Macaca fascicularis: one gene and its partner. The main gene of each other region encodes a partner of the protein of the gene in region 2 in a complex. Links are inferred from orthologs where the notes say so. Each region holds a gene or a part of one and is shown on either strand. Other genes may lie near its edges. The genes, in order: VEGFB and FLT1.

Region 1 (4,235 bases), on a different chromosome or scaffold from region 2:
GCGATCTTGGCTCATTGCAACCTCACCTTTGCCTCCCAGGTTCAAGCAATTCTTCTGTTTCTGTCTCAGCCTCCCAAGTAGCTGGGACTACAGGCGTCCACCACCACTCCTGGCTAATTGTTTTGTATTTTTAGTAGAGATGGGGCTTCACCATATTGGCCAGGCTGGTCTCAAACTCCTGACCTCATATGATCCATGCGCCTCGACCTCCCAAAGTAGAGGGATTACTGGCGTGAGCCACCGCGCCTAGCCACGAAGCCGATTTTCTATAGCAAATACCTAAAGGCCAGTGCCCACTGCTAGCAGCCTGCCTAGTTCAGTGATGGAGTTAGATGCATACCCTTTCTAGTCTTCTGGGAGGAGCACCCCCATGTCCACAGCTGCTGTAACACCTCGAAGTGGCCAGGGACTTCGGATGCCATTGGACCCTAGACAAGCCAGGGCCACTCTGAGCCCTCCCTACCTATCACAGGCAGGGTTAGGCTGAGGTCCCTAACCCTGTGTGGGTTAAAAAGCTGTGAGGCCCCTAGAGTGGGGTGGAAGGGGGCAGGACTTCAGGGACAACAGGAATTCGAGTCCCAGGGTTAATTGTGACACATTGCAGGAAGGTGAAGCAGATGCACCTTAACTTCATGGATGAAAAGGATCGGATCATCACAGCCATGCACAATGAAGCGCGGGAGCGGGCGCGGGCCAGGTCTGTCCCTGCTCTATTCTGCCCCCTGCTCCCTGTCCCGGCACCACACTTCGGGATCCCTATCCCAACCACCCAGGTGCCCTCTCCTCCAGGGCCAACAGAGCCAGCCTTCAGCAGGAGCGACAACAGCAAAGGCAGCAGCAGCCGCCACCACCGGAGCCAACCCAAGTCCCCGAGATCGTGCCCCCGGGCGCCGGCCCCTGAGGGGCTCACCTGGATAGGGCCTGCAGTGCGTTCCCGCCTTGCTTCCTTCCCTGGACTGCCCGCTTCCCAAAACGCGTGCAATAAAGTGATTCGCAGAGCTAGTGTGCGGCTCCCTCCTTCAGGCCCGGCGCCCCCTGCCCCGGCTTCGCCGAGGGGCAGCGCCCCGCCCTCTGGGTAGTGACTGCCGCGACCCGGGAGCCCGGCCCCCTGGGCGGTGCGTCCCCTTTCCCCTGCAGCGGCGGGAGGGGGGAGGGGGGGTGTGTGGAGGAGGCGGGTCCCGCCGGCGGCCTCGCCCCCCCGCCCCGCCGCCCCGCCCCCGCCCCACGGCCCGGTGGGGAGCGCGTGTCTGGGTCACATGAGCCGCCCGCCCGCCAGCCCGGGCCCGGCCCCCCGCCGCCCCCGCCGTCCCCGCCGCCGCCGCCCGCCGCCACCGGCCGCCCGCCCTCCCGGCTCCTCCGGCCGCCTCCGCTGCTCTGCGCTGCACTGCCTGCACCCAGGGCTCGGGAGGGGGCCGCGGAGGAGCCGCCCACCGCGCCCGGCCCCCGCCCGCCGCGCCCGGGCCCGCGCCATGGGGCTCTGGCTGCCGCCGCCCCCCGCCCCGCCGGGCTAGGGCGATGCGGGCGTCCCCGGCGGGCGGCCCCCGCGGGCACCATGAGCCCCCTGCTCCGCCGCCTGCTGCTCGCCGCGCTCCTGCAGCTGGCCCCCGCCCAGGTACGTGCGGCCCGACAGCGCGCCCGCCAGCCCGCCCGCCAGCCCGCCAGCCCGCCGTGCCCTCTCTCAAGGTTGGCGGAAGTGAGGAGGCGACCCGCGGCCTCGGCCGGGGGGATCTGCGGGGTCCGGCCTTGGACGCGGGCGTCTCGGGGCCCGGCGCGTGCATCCCCTGGGAGGTGCCCCTCCCCGCTGGCCCGCCAGCCCCAGTCTGGGGCCACTCCTCCGCCCCACCCCGTCCCCTGGGCACCGCCGGGGGCGGGGCTCCCTCAGTGCTCGCAGGACCTGCTTCGGTGCCCACTGTGCGCGCTCCTGATCTGCATGCAGCCCCCAGACATGCTCGGTTCTGCGGCCTGGAGATTTGATGAGGCCGCCGGAGCACCTGTTGTGTTTTGGGCCAGGGCAGGTCCGGGGTGGCCAGGAAAGGACAGGTAAAGCTAGAGCAGTGGCCACAGGAACAGAGCAATCTGGAAAGATGTCAGAGAGGTGGTGAAGCCTCCTGATGCAAGGGCAAAGCCCCAGGGATGGCGACAGGGAAAGACCCTCCTAAAGGGTACCTTGGGTACAGGTCTTTTCTCTCCCACAGGCCCCTGTCTCCCAGCCTGATGCTCCTGGCCACCAGAAGAAAGGTAATACTCATAAAAACTCGGCACTAGCCAGCACTGAGAGGGTTTGTCATTGGCCCTGATTCCAGGTGCCTGGTGTCCGTCATCTTGTATAACTCCCCTAGAATATGCAAACTGTTATTCTACCCATTTCACAGAGGAGGAAATTGAGGCAGCGGGGTTACTGGGATCTGGATAAACAGGGCAGGGGAAGACAGGTTGTGAGGGCAGAGTGGGGAGGGCTACTGGAGGGTGGCTGTGACTTGGGGACTGGGGGGGACAGCTGCTGGGAGCAGCTGCAGGAAAAACAGTGAGGACTTAACCCCTACCGGTCTGCTCCCAGTGGTGTCATGGATAGATGTGTATACTCGCGCTACCTGCCAGCCCCGGGAGGTGGTGGTGCCCCTGACTGTGGAGCTCATGGGCACCGTGGCCAAACAGCTGGTGCCCAGCTGTGTGACTGTGCAGCGTTGTGGTGGCTGCTGCCCTGATGATGGCCTGGAGTGTGTGCCCACTGGGCAGCACCAAGTCCGGATGCAGGTACTGGGCATATGGGGCAGTGGGCAGGGGATGCAGGTACTGGGCAGGTGGGGCAGTGGGCAGGGGATGCAGGCACTGGGCAGGTGGGGCAGCGGGCAGGGGATGCAGGTACTGGGCAGGTGGGGCAGTGGGCAGGGTGGATGCTGGCTGGCTCTGGGGTTGGGGCAGCCTGGAGACTGAGGCACAGGAGGTAGGGTTGGGGGGAGGGCTGGTGGCCAGCCTCCTGGCTGTTGGGTGAGCTTTTCTCCCTCCAGCCTTAGAGCATCCCCTTTCTCTCTCTCCCTCACTGTCCCCCCTGTTCTTCTCCTGAGCACAGATCCTCATGATCCGGTACCCGAGCAGTCAGCTGGGGGAGATGTCCCTGGAAGAACACAGCCAGTGTGAATGCAGGTGCCAGCCAGGCCCAAATTCTGAGCTTACAGAGGCCAGGCTGGGGGGGTGCTGGGTATGGTGGTCCACAGAACTGGGGACCAGGTTCCTAAGAGTAGAGCCAAGGGTAGGCCTTGGATCTGGGGCAACAAAGTAGGATGGTTGGGTCAGTGGCTCACACCTATAATCCCAGCACTTTGGGAGGCCCAGGTGGGCAGATCATCTGAGGTAAGGAGTTCAAGACCAGCCTGGCCAAGATGGTGAAACCCCGTCTCTACTAAAAAAAAAAACAAAAACAAAAATTAGCTGGGTGTGGTGGCGGATGCCTGTAATCCGAGCTACTTGGGAGGCTGAGACAGAAGAATAGCTTGAACCCAGGAGGCGGAGGTTGCAGTGAGCTGAGACCATGCCACTGCACTCCAGCCTGGGCAAGAATAGGGAAACTCAGTCTCAAAAAGAGAGAGAGAGAGTAGGATGCTGGGATTTCCTGATCTTCCTCCTCTTTGTGTCTATCTCTCTTAATTTTTCAGACCTAAAAAAAAGGACAGTGCTGTGAAGCCGGACAGGTGAGTCTTTTGGACTCCAGCTGAGTGGGGGCAGGGGGAGTACAAGTGAGTCCGGAAGCTGTTGCCCCTCTTTCTCTTCCCACCTGTCCCCCGCTTTCCCTTTTCCTCTGCTCCCCAAGCCTGTGTTCTCTGTCCCGACCCCAGCTCCAGGGAAGACTCTTCCTTCCCACCCCAGACATGTCGCTTCTCCTCCCTAGGGCTGCCACTCCCCACCACCGTCCCCAGCCCCGCTCTGTTCCGGGCTGGGACTCTGCCCCCGGAGCACCCTCCCCAGCTGACATCACCCATCCCACTCCAGCCCCAGGACCCTCTGCCCACGCTGCACCCAGCGCCACCAGCGCCCTGACCCCCGGACCTGCCGCTGCCACTGTCGACGCCGCAGTTTCCTCCGTTGCCAAGGGCGGGGCTTAGAGCTCAACCCAGACACCTGCAGGTGAGGTGTCTGTAGGGTGGTGTTTGTTTGGGAAGACACCAAGGTCCTGTCCTGGAGCAGGTCCAGGGTGAGCCTGCCAGTAGGAGGAGGGCCAGGGAAGGGGAAACTGTTGA
Region 2 (3,802 bases):
TGAGTTTTCCCCAGAATTAAGTTCTATCCATCGGTATCCACGACTCCTCATTCTCAAAACTCCTCATATCAGGGCAAATTAAGGTACTTGCAGTGGTGTTTGTTCTACATTTAAGAACACAGGTAAGCCGGGCACGGTGGCTCAAGCCTGTAATCCCAGCACTTTGGGAGGCTGAGACGGGCGGATCACAAGGTCAGGAGATCGAGACCATCCTGACTAACACGGTGAAACCCCGTCTCTACTAAAAAATACAAAAAAAAAAAAAAAACTAGCCGGGCGAGGTGGCGGGCGCCTGTGGTCCCAGCTACTCCGGAGGCTGAGGCAGGAGAATGGCGTAAACCCGGGAGGCGGAGCTTGCAGTGAGCTGAGATCCGGCCACTGCACTCCAGCCTGGGCGACAGAGCCAGACTCAGTCTCAAAAAAAAAAAAAAAAAAAAAAAGAACACAGGTATCAGCAAATACTAGGAAAAATGAATTTATAGCAAAGGTGTGCGTCCAACCCTGGCAAAGAAGGAAAAACAGTGAACAGCAAGACTGACCTTTCTGGAAGACAGGAACTCCATGCCTCTGGCCACTTGAAAACTGTAAGAAATCAGATCTTCCATAGTGATGGGCTCCTTGTAGAAACCATCAGAATCTGGAAAGCATTAGAACCGTAACTGTTTGTAATGGCTCTTGTTATCCCATCAAATCCCAGTTTATTGGAACAATGTTAGCAAAACATAAAACAAACCAACAAGTAGACCAGAGTTCATTTTTAAGAGTATTTGAGTTTCAACATGAACACCAGAGATTTTTTCCAGGCCTCCAGCCCATTTTATCCAAGCATGGGGGCAGGGGGATGATCCATTAGGATGAAAATGCCTGAGGGGAGAAAACGGTACAGTTCCCTGTCAAAATTAGTAACTCTGTAAATAATCTTAATTCAAATCTTATCTCCTCAGGACATTACCATTCGAGTCTCCCACGGATGTTTATTAGAGTGATAAATAAGAAAAAAATTTCAGAGATGCACAGTATGTTGTAAAAATATCTCAGCGCGTTGGACAGGAAGGAATTAATACCTACCCTCCTCTTCCTCAACATCACTCAGACTTTTATCTTCCTGAAACCCGGAGCTCGCAAAGCTCTCGCTGCTGGTGACACTATCTAGTCTTGGTTTCTTGCCTTGTTCCAGGCCTGGCTCCATTTTTTCTTTCTTAGGCTCCATGTGTAATGCTGCATCCTTTGAAGAGACCAAAAAGGACCCAGGTAAAAAGGAGCTCCAGCACAGCAGTGGGAAACCAGTCCCTCAACTGGCAATTGCCTGATGAGAAATGAGAGCATTTCACTTCTCATAATGGATCGTGAACTAGCGCAGAGGCCCTACAGTGTCCAGGAGCCTGACTACCTCTGGGGTTGCAGAGTCTGTTGTGCTCTTGCCTGGGCTTCTAGACAGCATCTTAGATCAGATAAAAAAAAATTAATAGTGGTGGGTATTTACTGAATGCTTGCTCTGTGTGAGCCGGTATATTAAAAGCTTTAGGTACATTTCTTGTTTAATGTTTCCAAAACAGGTTCAGAGAAGTAAAGTAATCAAATTCACATGCAGCTAATAAAGAGCAAAGCTGGCCGGGTGCAGTGGCTCATGCCTGTAATCCCAGCACTTTGGGAGGCCGAGCCAGGCAGACCACCTGAGGACGGGAGTTTGAGACCAGCCTGACCAATATGGAGAAATCCTGTCTCTACTAAAAATACAAAATTAGCTGGGCATGGTGGTGCATGCCTATAATCCCAGATACTCAGGAGGCTGAGGCAGGAGAGTTGCTTGCACCCAGGAGGTGGAGGCTGCAGTGAGCCGAGATCACGCCATTGCACTCCAGCCTGGCCATGAGAGCAAAACTCCAGCTCAAAAAAAAGCTTAAACCCAGGATTGGTCGGTGCCCACGTCTGTGCCCTTAACCACTCTTCCATGCCACATGCCATCTTGTGAAGGATGACATCACTGAGAGGAAAGGATCCCCAGTGTGCTTGGTGCTTCACTCTGTAACCCCTAGGAGGAGTCATAAGAGAAGGCTATAGTTACCAATTTCCCAGGTTTCCTTGGGGAAGGAGGGAACATGGACATTGCTTTTTTTCTCTTCCATTCAAAACAAAGATACGAGTTGATTCTAACAAGGGTAGTAATGGCCTTTCACCCTGGACTGCGCATTCAAGCCCCGGTTCATCTGGCTCTTCCATTAATCATGTGATCCTGGGCAAGTCACCTTACTTTTCTGAGTTTCATTATCCTCTTCTGAAAAGCTCTATTATGCTATTATTTTATGATTCATAGGAAAGGAGTTGTCGGTTCTGGGTGTTCATGGGAAACCAGAAAAGATTTTTATTGCCTTTTGTAATTCATCTAGTAACTATGACACTCTAAAAACCTAGCACTTTCAGTGGCTTTATAATTAGACCATGTTCCTAACTTAGATTCTGCTAGACAGCAATACTGAGGCAGAGGCAGAGGCAGAGAGGGACTGGGGTTCAGTGGTGTCCCTTGATCTATTTGCATGGTATGGCAGTGCTAGGATTAGCCCGCCTCCCCCATCCTTCCTGGGCTTTTCTAGAAATGTCACAAAGCAAGAGCGATCCCTCCACTAGAGGGCACAGTGGGAGCAAGCAGAGCACAGGGAGAAAGCTTCCGGAGGGACAGCCCTAACCTAGCCTAAAAGCCAAAAGGGCACCAAGGTTCCCAGTCCCTGAAAAGAGACCTTCCAGGGTTGCAGAGGGAGGCAGGCCTCAGAGTAAATACCCACTGCCATCGCAGGTAGCCCACCTGAGGGCAGGTAGACTTTCACTATTTGTTATTGTGTTTCCACAATGCAGTTATATTGGATTCTGTTCATTTGGGGACTGGAATTTTATTTTTCACAAGATCTTTTGTGGGACAGAAGGCATCAGACAAAGCGCTGGCAATAGTGTGGGGAGAAAAATGCTCCACATGCTCACTCAGGGCTCTGCGTGTGAAAACTCTCCCTGGGCAGCCTTCGTCCCCAAGGCACCCAGAAGTCACAGCCTAGGCACGTCCCCAAGGGCCAAAACTCAGGCTCCCTCACTCCCTTCCTGACTCCCCATCAATGGTATATTCAGCTCTGCTTATCAGTACCACTTTTGTTAAATAAACGTAATTTACTGAACTCTTGGGACTCTGGCAGAATATAGTGAATTTATTACAAACCATATTTAAGGATCCCAGTTAATTTATTTGGAAAATGAAGTATTCCATTTGCAATTTAGCCTTTTGGTTTTGTCTTTCCTTTACCTTTATCTTCCAAATATGAAAGACAGCCATGGATTTTCCACAAAAACACTAAGCTCCACCAAGTTGCACAGGGAGGCAAATCATTAAATATAGCCAGAGAAGGAAGCAAACTCTTCAAAACAAAGGACGCACAAACCCAAACGTTCCATCCTGCCCAGGTCCCTAGGGTATTCTGCTGGCTTAGCTCTTCCTGAAGTCAGTCCAAAATTTCAGGACTAAGGGGAATTTGTACTGCCCTCAGCCCAAGGCACCACTTTCCACTTTTTCTTATACTTTTTTCACCTTATTTAGTGTGGTGCACAGAAAAGGCAGTGGAGGAGGAGTCAAGACAGCTGAGTTCTTTCTCCTTCTGACTTCACCTCATGGTAGGTGTGAATCCTTAAGCCAATCACTTGACTTCTCTGAGCATATCTACAGCCTGCGAGTATGAAACAACTGATCACAAAGATCCCTTCCAACTTCAAGATTCTAATTATTAGGCCGGGCACGGTGGCTCACACTTGTAATCCCAGCATT

Evidence for each region.
Region 1: the proteins of FLT1 (region 2) and VEGFB are in contact, whole or in part, in a crystal structure (PDB 2XAC), measured with the Homo sapiens proteins. The link is inferred for Macaca fascicularis from reciprocal best matches to the Homo sapiens genes FLT1 and VEGFB. Residues at the interface, in NP_002010.2 of Homo sapiens: Tyr139, Glu141, Pro143, Phe172, Pro173, Tyr199, Ile202, Gly203, Leu204, Asn219, Leu221, Arg224, Thr226; in NP_003368.1 of Homo sapiens: Ser37, Trp38, Ile39, Tyr42, Thr43, Thr46, Cys47, Gln48, Pro83, Asp84, Asp85, Gly86, Leu87, Cys124, Arg125, Pro126.

The regions. Positions count from the first base shown.
Region 1 is NC_088388.1:10,159,791-10,164,025, reverse strand, and holds the start of VEGFB (vascular endothelial growth factor B), read left to right. Parts: upstream 1-1,293; 5' UTR 1,294-1,552; coding exon 1,553-1,612; intron 1,613-1,880; exon of another isoform or gene 1,881-2,040; intron 2,041-2,195; coding exon 2,196-2,238; intron 2,239-2,557; coding exon 2,558-2,754; intron 2,755-3,070; coding exon 3,071-3,144; intron 3,145-3,653; coding exon 3,654-3,689; intron 3,690-3,886; coding exon 3,887-4,100; coding exon of another isoform or gene 4,101-4,122; intron 4,123-4,235. Other genes in the region: DNAJC4 (dnaJ homolog subfamily C member 4), read left to right, coding at 605-1,079. UniProt on the Homo sapiens protein: Growth factor for endothelial cells. VEGF-B167 binds heparin and neuropilin-1 whereas the binding to neuropilin-1 of VEGF-B186 is regulated by proteolysis.
Region 2 is NC_088391.1:8,249,189-8,252,990, forward strand, and holds part of FLT1 (vascular endothelial growth factor receptor 1), read right to left. Parts: intron 1,226-3,802; coding exon 1,069-1,225; intron 638-1,068; coding exon 540-637; intron 1-539. UniProt on the Homo sapiens protein: Tyrosine-protein kinase that acts as a cell-surface receptor for VEGFA, VEGFB and PGF, and plays an essential role in the development of embryonic vasculature, the regulation of angiogenesis, cell survival, cell migration, macrophage function, chemotaxis, and cancer cell invasion.